2 linked regions of the Arabidopsis thaliana genome follow. The protein of the gene in region 1 interacts with the protein of each later gene in a pairwise test. Each region holds a gene or a part of one and is shown in the gene's direction. Other genes may lie near its edges.

Region 1 (5,779 bases):
TCTGAACCAACTACTATTTTCCTAACTCATTCAAGTCTTCCAATAGATTGAGCAATTTATAAATTTTGTACAACAAAGCTTCATAGCTGATTGTGTTATTTCAGCTAAAAATTTATGAGAATTTGCTGTGATGATGAGTGGGACAGTTATACAGATTTTTAGCTACTAGCACGCTTAAAATGTTCACGAATAAACCTCTCAGCGTGAGACGGGTACTTATCTCGAACATAGGCTCGAAGACACTTTTGGTACGAGAAATCTATCCATCCACCATCTGTTCTCACAACAAAGAGGCATCTTGAGTGCCTGAATTGTGGATGCCGATCAACCTGCCAGTAACAAAGTAGCACACTCATAAGTCCATGCACATAAAGCAAATGAAGATTTATGGATAGAGCATGTAAGTAAGTCATATATCTATCATGGTGATTCGAGAACTATGCACAATACCTCAAGATAATTTCTATATGAGTAGAGCTTAAAGAGAGAGATATCGGGTTAGCTCGAATTTACGTACCATTATAAAATCAAGACCACAACCAATTTTGTCTTTGGAATATGGGTGATAAGGAAGAAGCTTTTCCATGACAATTTTCTCATCCTCAAAATCTAAGCGTTCTCCATCCAAATACCTGCTTACCAAAAAGGAAAAAAAAAACAGCTCACTAGAACTGCAAAAAGTAATCTACACAAAGAAAACAGCAAGTATGCTCTGAAGCTAGCTTCAAATGTCAATAGTTCACTAGAAAAAAGTTGTAATTTGCCTAATGTTCAAGTAAACTGAAGATATATACAAGAGCATCTCTCACTTTCTGCAATGACCACTATAATCCTATCATCCATTGCTAAAGGATCCTCAACAATAAGCCAAGAATATCATCATGTGTAATAGTCACCTCAAAAGGCCATATGGTGTCTCTATGTTGTTTGATTAAGCTACTGGAAGAAGCTATGAGCCTATACCTTCAATACTAATCCAAACATGGAACAGCTATTGAAGAACAATCAGCAAGAATTTGAAGAAATTACCTATCGGAATGAAGAATTTCTTTAGCGAGAAGAGAAATAGGTTCAATATCTCGAAGAATCTCAGCCTCTAGATTCTTCCATTTCCGATAATCAGGATCTTCATAACGCCAGCTATTATCAACAACAGGCGATGTCACGTTCATCGCCGCCGCGCCGGATCCCTCCACCGGAGAAACAGAATCATTATTCTCGTAAAACTGTGGTCTATCAGCAAGAGAACACAACAAACGCCGACGGTGACTGAGAATTCCACCAGCTACGATACCAACTTGATGACGATGGTTGAGAAATCCGTTGCGGAGAAGCGGAAGCGTTCTGAGAAGAAGTAGCGAGGTCATCGACCACAATCAAGGAGTAATATAGACAATAATAACGAATAAAACCCTAATCTGTACTAATCACTCGAAGAAGATGAAAAATTGGGGAAATCTCAGAGAATCAGAAATTTGAGAAGAAGATAACGTTTCGTCAGTTTGTGAAGTTGGGGCATCGAACCCGTGACGTTGAAGAAGCTAAACAGAGTAACTAAACCTCTCTGAGCCTTTCCACAATAATTATTTTCATTTTCTTAAAAGTTAGGTGCCAGCCAATCTGTGCCGTTAGATTGATCTTTATATGCTTCTATAAATATCTAAAACAACAATCCAACGGTGGAAAGATCACATTGCGTGTCAGTACTGTAGATACTCATCACCGAATCTTTCTCCTCTTTTCACTCTCCAGCTGGCCGAACCCACCGGTTTTGCCCACTTTCTCTCTAGGCCCGCAAACACAACTTGCTAAGTCGGTAGTAATTTACTGAAAAACCCTCACAAATAGCTGACTTGGCTCTTTTCACTCCACGTGGCTCCATCTTACGTGCCTAGTTTGGTAATTTCAATTTCAATCACCTAGATCGTAACTATTGATACATAATGTGAACTGATGACGTGTTGAAAAGAGATTGGTTAGGTCGGTTTGAAAAGATATTTAGAAGATCTAAAATATCTAGCTAACTCGTCCACGTTGGAATTAAAATATTGCGCTTTTTCCTGGAAAAGAAAAATATAAAACAAGTGATAATCTTCTCTTTTTCGAAATTGTTTCACTTCTGAAAAAAAAAAAAAAAAAAATTGTTTGCTCATCATCTTCACAAACCAAACTTCTCTTCTTCTCCGATCTCAGATTTGAATTTTTATCGATTTTGAGCTTCGAAGAGCTCAATCTCTAACTGAATTTCGAGAAATTAGAGAGTTTGAAATGGGAGAGGAAGTACAAATGAGCGATTACGATGTTTCCGGCGACGGAGATAGGGTTTCTGAATGGGAGATGGGATTACCAAGCGACGAAGATCTAGCATCTCTTTCTTACTCTCTGATTCCACCGAATTTGGCGATGGCGTTTAGTATCACACCGGAGAGAAGCCGTACGATTCAGGATGTGAATCGTGCATCGGAGACGACGCTCTCGTCGCTACGTGGTGGATCTTCAGGTCCAAATACCTCGTCGTCGAATAATAACGTGGAGGAGGAAGATCGAGTTGGATCTAGCAGTCCTGGATCGGATTCGAAGAAGCAAAAGACATCAAACGGTGATGGAGATGACGGTGGCGGTGTGGATCCGGATTCGGCGATGGCGGCGGAAGAAGGAGATTCAGGAACTGAAGATCTATCTGGGAAAACACTTAAACGACCGCGTTTAGTGTGGACACCGCAGCTACACAAGAGATTCGTTGACGTTGTAGCTCACTTAGGGATCAAAAACGCTGTTCCGAAGACGATTATGCAGCTGATGAACGTTGAAGGATTAACTCGTGAGAACGTTGCGTCTCATCTTCAAAAGTATAGGCTTTACCTCAAAAGGATGCAGGGATTGACTAATGAAGGTCCCTCTGCTTCGGATAAGCTCTTCTCTTCAACACCTGTTCCTCCACAGAGCTTCCAAGATATCGGTGGCGGTGGCGGTAGCAGCGGTAATGTTGGAGTGCCGATTCCGGGGGCGTATGGAACGCAACAGATGATGCAGATGCCAGTTTATGCACATCATATGGGTATGCAAGGATATCATCATCAAAATCATAATCATGATCCTTATCATCAGAATCATCGTCATCATCATGGAGCTGGTGGAAATGGTGCGTTTGAGTCAAATCCTTATATGATGCAGCAGAATAAGTTTGGATCCATGGCTTCTTATCCTTCTGTTGGAGGTGGAAGCGCAAATGAGAATTAAAAAGAGTCTATAGATGGATTCAATGGGGGAGGAAGAGATAGGTGAGCTTGTTATTGCTCGTGGAACTGATAATTATTGTCAAGTTTCTGTTTTTTTAAGTACAGTACAGTTATAATTCTTACTCGATTTGATCGAAATTTTCATCAAGTTTCTGTCTTTTACTATAAATGGTATACAATAAAGTCTTAATAATCACTTGTTTGGTGATGTTGACAGAGTTAATATAATCAACTAAGTTGAATTTGATTTTGAGATTCTTGTGCTATGTTGAAATGTTATTGAGAATTAAGTATCAAAATTGCTCTCATGTGACTTGAGACTTAATGTAATCCAGATCATGTTTGATTCATCTTCGGAATTATATGGTGGTTTTGAAAACCATGTGTTTAATTTTCTCTTCGGGACTAGGTAACTAACACTGTGAGTTATGTCAAATCCAAGAGAGCATATGTGTCATGTGGCTCGACATTTTCTTGTGTACTCTTTTTGCAGAAGTGATAGTGTCATGTTATTTTGGTTTTGGTTTCCTCATTGGGAAAGTCTTGTGATGTTTTTTGATCTAGACAAGATATTACCTGTGCAAGCTTTTAGGTAGAATGAGCAGTTTCTCTTTTATGTTTGGGTTCTGCATCTTTTGCAGGTCTTGATCATATTTGATTGTTGTTACAGGTTCTTGGTGTCTACAAAATTTCTTATCTTTTGCGGAGTTTTCCACCGCAAAGTCCCAAATTGCATCTGTTCAGGAGAGGATCATACAAAGTATCATGTAGAAGCTAAACCAAGAGAAGACTGCAGACAAATTTCATATACTCATTTTTCTATCTTGTAAGAGGTAAGTCCCTTTGTTTTATTTGTCTGCAGACTTCTTAAAGTGGTAATCAAGAGAGTGAATTGTTTATTTCTGTGAGAGATGGCGTCAGACACAAACTTTATTTTAAAAATTTATAAACCAATCAAATGTTTCAGAAGAAGCCATTTTAATACAATCAAGTATTCCTCATATGATGACCTTACGAGTGATTGGAGAGCCACATACCAATGAACGTCCAACAAAAGGAAGAAAGTGACATTTTAACAAAAGCAAAAGTCTTTCCAATGTTTCTTGCTGACATAGGTTTCAGCCACTTAGGGTTCTACTTTGAGATTTAGATAATAATTTCAAGACCTTTTCATCTCCAATATATGTTCATAATTTTCATTAATATATGATTGTTTCTCTGCACATCATACATTCAGTGACAACCTTATCTTCAGACCTTGATTATCTTATTTAATAGTAGCGAGATTCTTCTAGAATAGAAAAGTACATAGATTTCTTAACATCCACACAAGTAATTGTCTTCATAGAGTCATCATGAAGTGTTCAAACTCCTTTAGCGAGTTGTGTAAAGAACCTCCACCTCTAACAGAGGCTCTCAGCTCCTCCTTCAAAGTGACGGCTCTCTTTCTCATTTCCTCTCCTTCTTCGAAAACCGTTAACCTCTTCACAGCTCTCTCGACCGCTCCTCTTTCTAGATCACCCTCCACTTGAATCCCAATTTTCCAAACACACTCCAAGTACCTTGCGTTCACCCGAAAATGGCCTGCAAATCACCGGAACTCCTTCGCTGATCATGTTTTCTAGTATCGAGTTGCATCCTTTATGGCTCCAAAACGCCCCTATTGCAGGATGAGCAAGTACTTCCTTCTGTGGAGCCCTTTTCACAATGTAGTTGATACATATGTTTTCTACTTGTTTATAGGGCGGAAGCTACTGTTACTAAGAAACCTGCTTTTCCTCCATTTCCAAAACCTACAAGAAAACTAATAAGTAGCTCTCTAAGCTCCGGGCTTATAGATTACTCTGCTTCTCATCTTCTTTGAACGTTTTATATATATAAATATCAGATTCTCGCTTGTGGACACTAATTCATCCGTATAATGTTTTGTTAGCTCTCTTTGCGCACATGTGAAGCATGTGGTCGATGGTGTACGCAAGTAGTTACATCTCTTTATTTTGTTAGAGAGAGTAGTAATCAAAGACAAAAGAAAAGATGTTTATTGTGATGCAACAATTCTATATTGAGCAAACTGCCAAGAGTGATACAAAAGAAACCACACTTTGCAAATTTTGCAACAATTCAATTAATATTACATGAAGTTCAACATCTTTGCTTTGTCTTCAAGTAATTGACAATATCTTCCAATGCGTTGTATGAGGCGCCTCCACTACTGACAGAGGCTTTGATCTTCTCTTTCAGAACAAGGGCTCTCTCTCGCATCCCCGCACCTTCGTCATCCACGATCAACCTCTTCACAGCTCTCTCAACCTCTCCTCTATCCACTTTACCTTCCACCTGAAACCCTATTCTCCAAACACTTTCTATATACATTGCATTCAACTTTTGCTCGCCATGAAAGGGCTTGCAAATCATTGGAACTCCTTCTCCAATGCTCTCGAGTATTGAGTTCCATCCACAGTGGCTCCAGAAGCCTCCCACTGCAGGATGTCCAAGTACTTCTATCTGCGGTGCTCGTTTCACAATGTATCCTCTTTCAG
Region 2 (4,528 bases), about 14 Mb from region 1:
ATCCCATCATCTATGGGGAACCTGACAGCTCTCGAGTCATTGGACGTTTCCCAGAACAAGCTTACAGGAGAGATTCCACAAGAGCTAGGGGACCTTTCGTTCCTTGCGTATATGAACTTCTCTCATAACCAGCTTGCAGGCCTAGTACCAGGAGGTACGCAGTTTCGAAGGCAAAATTGCTCTGCCTTTGAGAATAACCTGGGACTTTTTGGCCCTTCTCTTGACGAAGTCTGCAGAGATAAACATACGCCAGCATCACAACAGAATGAAACGACAGAAACAGAGGAAGAAGACGAAGAAGAGATAAGCTGGATAGCAGCCGCAATAGGATTCATACCTGGAATTGTCTTTGGATTAACGATTGGATACATATTGGTTTCCTACAAACCAGAGTGGTTCATGAACCCTTTTGGCCGAAACAATCGTCGACGCAGAAACACCACCACCCACTAGAGAGGTAATGTTCCGACTTTTGAACGAGTTTGGTAGCTTTCCATCAGAATGAATTTTATTTCTGTTTTAACAACTTATTTTCGTTGTTATAGGCTTATAACCTATCTGAATAATCTGGAAGAGGAAAGTCAAAGTAACCGGACGAACTCCTTGACGTTAACCAACCACTCTTTTAGCCATTTTCAAATCCAGATTGTTTCCGGTTTAGCTTGTGTTTTTCTCTTCTACTCTGTTTTTAGCCAACTTTGTAATTGAACAACTCTGTTTTTCGCTCTTTAGATGTACATGTAAAGTTGTTTTTTCCCGCGAGTTTGTTGTTATCATTTCTTTCCCCATTGCACTCTCGTATCTAAAAATGTATGTCTATTTGTTCGTATCAATTAAGACGCAGAAATACAGAGCAATTATAGAATTGGGGAATATTTGATCAAAAAGCCATTTTTACTGTATTTTGATAAACTAAACCTTATACATGGATATATTTGAAGTCAGTTGTGTCTGGTTCTTTATTAGACATTTATCTGCTATTTTGCAGCAGCAAGCTGTTTCATTCTCGACATTTTCAAGTAGTTTATACGAGAATGGAGAAGTGTGTTTTGATGATGAGTTTTTGGGTTTTTGGTAATGGCTTAAGGAAAGGGAGTGATTATATGCTAAGCTCTGTGAACTACTAGAAAAGTTTAGGTAAGCCTATGGGATTATAATCCATAGTGGAAAAGGAATGGAAAGCATTACATATTACGATTTAATTTATGAAATGACAAGATAAGAAGATTTAATTAAGTAAATGACAATTCTTTTTAAGTTGCTACTAGCAATTTCTTTAAACCATTACTTGTTTGTATATTTATACTCATTCACAAAGGTTAAGAGATAACAATATTATCGTTTTGTGTACTCATTATAAAGGTTAAAAGATTTAAGGTCCTTAAGATTTATGAATATTTGATTTAACAAAAGAAATTTTAAGTTTTGAGTTAAGTTTTTCTTGTTATTGGTATAAATTCACAACCAAAATGAATGATGAGTAGAAGAGGAAGCCAAAGAAAGAAGAGAAAATGGATAGTGAAGGGGACGGTGGTGATGGTGGTGGGCTTCTCATTCTCTCACTTTTCTTGTCAAATGTCTTGTCTTCTCCATTTCCACACTCCAATTTTTATATGCTACCTGTGATTTTATTTATTTTATTATTTGACTTTCTTTTGCTTAAGCTATGTATAATCTACAATAAGAACCACAAAAAGTGATATAAGCTCAGTTCTATATTGGTGCCCACTTTGTAAGAAATTTCCTCTTCAATTTGGAGCAAAGTGAAAGCTATTTTGTATTTTGCTTGATTGACTTGTTTCCACTAATCCAAAAGTCTTGCTTCTCTTGTTTCTTCTTCTATAAAAGAGAAAATTAGCTGATGTGTTGTTACTTTAACTCTCTCTATCTCTATAGTACCTTTGATTTTTCAATATATGATTATGATTTATGGACTCGAACTCACGACCAATCATGTAATTAGCAAGGAAAAGCTCAAAGCCAACACAAATGATGAATAGGCCCATGCCTTGTCCCATTTGTTTCCTTCTCTCTATTACTTTCAAAAACACTCTTCTTCACAAAAAGTTAAAAGACTCTTATCAATATATAAAGGAAGCACGAGATAAAACTTAGAAAAAACGAGAGCCTAACATTTACCACCAAAAAATCAAAACAAACAAACAAAAAGTTTGAGATGAGAGGGCATGAGCCACGATCAAGCTCATCTTGTGCAGCCTGCAAGCTCTTGAAGAGACGATGCACACCCACTTGCATTTTCGCTCCTTATTTCCGCTCAAGTGACTTGATAACTTTCGCCAAAGTCCATAAAGTCTTTGGAGCCAGCAACGTCAGTAAGCTTCTCGGTGAAGTTCCTGAAGAACAGAGACAAGAAACCGTTAACTCCTTGGCTTATGAAGCTGAGGTTCGTCTCAAGGATCCTGTTTACGGTTGCATTGGAGCCATAGCGTCTCTGCAGAAGAAGATGCTCGAGCTTCAACACGATCTAGCTGTTGCTCGCACTCGACTACTTGCCCATTCTGGGGTCAACAACAGCCAAGTGTCCCCTTTGGATGATTCTCCTGAGCTTGCTGCTTTTCTTGATCTTGTACCTTATAGTGACTTGATGTTGCTTGATGGGTCTACTAATCTTGATGCTTACTTGTATGATCTTGGACAGCCTCCTTTTGTATAGGCCTTATCTCTCTATCATATATCTCTTTATCAGCTGTATTTGCACTTTGCTTTACAAGTTATCTTTGACAATCTAAAGTCTGTCCCTAATGTATGAATTCCAGTATGCATAATCAGATGCTTACTTCATCATATGTATGAAAAAGGGTTTTAACTTCAAAAGTAACCATCACATGCGATGAGATAACTCAGGTACAAGATGAGCCTTGGAAGGTCAGAGTCCTTACCAGTTTTGGACCAAGTGGTAGGCCAAGGTGAGTAAAGTGAGGTGTTTTAGATGAAGAGCTTCTTTGTAAGTCAGGTATGAATAGGAGAGCACATGCTTATGTCATCCCGAAATTCTACCAAACATGAAACATTGATATATATGCTTCTATGATGTTCTTTTTTGAGGCTCCAATAATACAGCCTCATGTGTCAACTCGTCTCCCTCAGGCCACAAGAGTCTTGTCCTGGAGATTCCAGAGTGCAGCAAAGTCACATAAGCAAACATCCAAATCAATAGCTTGGTGGGTTTGATCAAATTCCAAACTGAATTATGAATGACTCTGATAAGAGTTCTCCTCAGAACCGTTCTACGCATCTTGTTAAGTCTGTACACATTCCTGAAACCTGCCTAAGCAAAAGAGTAATTGCAGATCACAGAAAGAGAGATGAGCACAATTTGGAACTGCAGACACTGATACACAAACCATCATACATTGATACTTCACAAAAGTACATCTTGATATGTCAGATACTATGAGAGTTCTTTTGGTAATTCGCATTGCTACTACCAATGTAACTCTACAATGCTAAAAAAGAGAATGAAAAAGAAGAAGAAGAAAAAAAGCATCGCGCTATAACTTAAGAAAACCTAAAGATCAATAATAATAACATCTTCTCCAAATCGTATGAGCTTTAGATCCAACCATTGCTCCTTGCTTCACATCAGTAACTCCTCCACAATCTACAATCCTACAACTTCTTACCTATACAACAAACAAAGCACAACTGAAGTTTCAGTAAACTCATCAATCACAACAAAACACACATAAAAATGAAAACTTTACCTGAAGCAGCTCTTCGTTTCCCAAGTTTAGATTTCTCAAGCTCCAATTGCATCTCCATCAACATATTCATTCGTTGTAACTCAAGCTCCTTTGCAACTTCCATTCTCTGTTTCTCCAATTCAATCATCATCTGTTGCTTCTTCCCCTCGATTCTCTCAAACGCTTCCCCTAACTTCAGAATCGATCTCGCTAGCTCCCTAAAGGCTGATCCTTCACTCGAATCTACATCTTCAACTTTACGATGCTTCCTCACCACAAATCCCCAATCACCCGCATCATCATCATCTTCTTCGTCGTCATCATCATCATCATCATCGTCATCGAGAGAGCTACCAGTTGATTTAGATCCAGTAGGATTCAAATTAGGGTTCATCAACGCCGATTTAACAACAGCACCGGACGATTTCTTCATAACCGGACCGATTAAGAAATCGAGTCTATCAAAGAAGCACCAATTCGATAAAGGTTTCGCCTTTTCAGTTTTGTACTTCTTCTTCAACGTATCGATCCGGTTTTTGCACTGTACATCGGTCTTTGGCCGGCCATTCCCGTGGCTTGAATTGACGGCGTCGGCGACTTCTTTCCAATCGTTTTGCCGGAGATTTCCCCGGTTGAGATTGACGTAACGATCTCCCCAAGCTTCGATCAATGTCGCCGTAGCGTCTTCGCTCCACCAATCCTCTCTTCCCGCCGGTAGACGGTGAGTCTTCGACTGAGTCTCCGGCGTCGTCTCCATCTCGGAGTGGGAAAGAGAGGAGGCTAACGTGCGCGGTGGAGAAAGAGGCTTAGGATAAGAATTTCTG

The links. Proteins that work in one complex are often made in the same cells at the same time.
Region 2: the proteins of PCL1 (region 1) and LBD21 interact in a two-hybrid assay, tested with the Arabidopsis thaliana proteins (one large-scale study listed by BioGRID).

What each region holds. Positions count from the first base shown.
Region 1 is NC_003074.8:17,180,980-17,186,758, forward strand, and holds PCL1 (Homeodomain-like superfamily protein), read left to right. Parts: upstream 1-2,090; 5' UTR 2,091-2,268; coding exon 2,269-3,142; coding exon of another isoform or gene 3,143-3,240; exon of another isoform or gene 3,241-3,907; intron 3,908-3,909; coding exon 3,910-4,010; 3' UTR 4,011-4,072; exon of another isoform or gene 4,073-4,206; 3' UTR 4,207-4,375; downstream 4,376-5,779. Other genes in the region: AT3G46630 (DCL protein (DUF3223)), read right to left, coding at 159-329, 518-632, 1,030-1,367; AT3G46650 (UDP-Glycosyltransferase superfamily protein), read right to left, coding at 4,582-4,801, 5,611-5,779. UniProt on the Arabidopsis thaliana protein: Transcription factor that is essential for the generation of the circadian clock oscillation. Is necessary for activation of CCA1 and LHY expression.
Region 2 is NC_003074.8:3,472,860-3,477,387, forward strand, and holds LBD21 (LOB domain-containing protein 21), read left to right. Parts: upstream 1-2,062; 5' UTR 2,063-2,176; coding exon 2,177-2,674; 3' UTR 2,675-2,989; downstream 2,990-4,528. Other genes in the region: RLP35 (receptor like protein 35), read left to right, coding at 1-453; AT3G11100 (sequence-specific DNA binding transcription factor), read right to left, coding at 3,631-3,644, 3,726-4,461.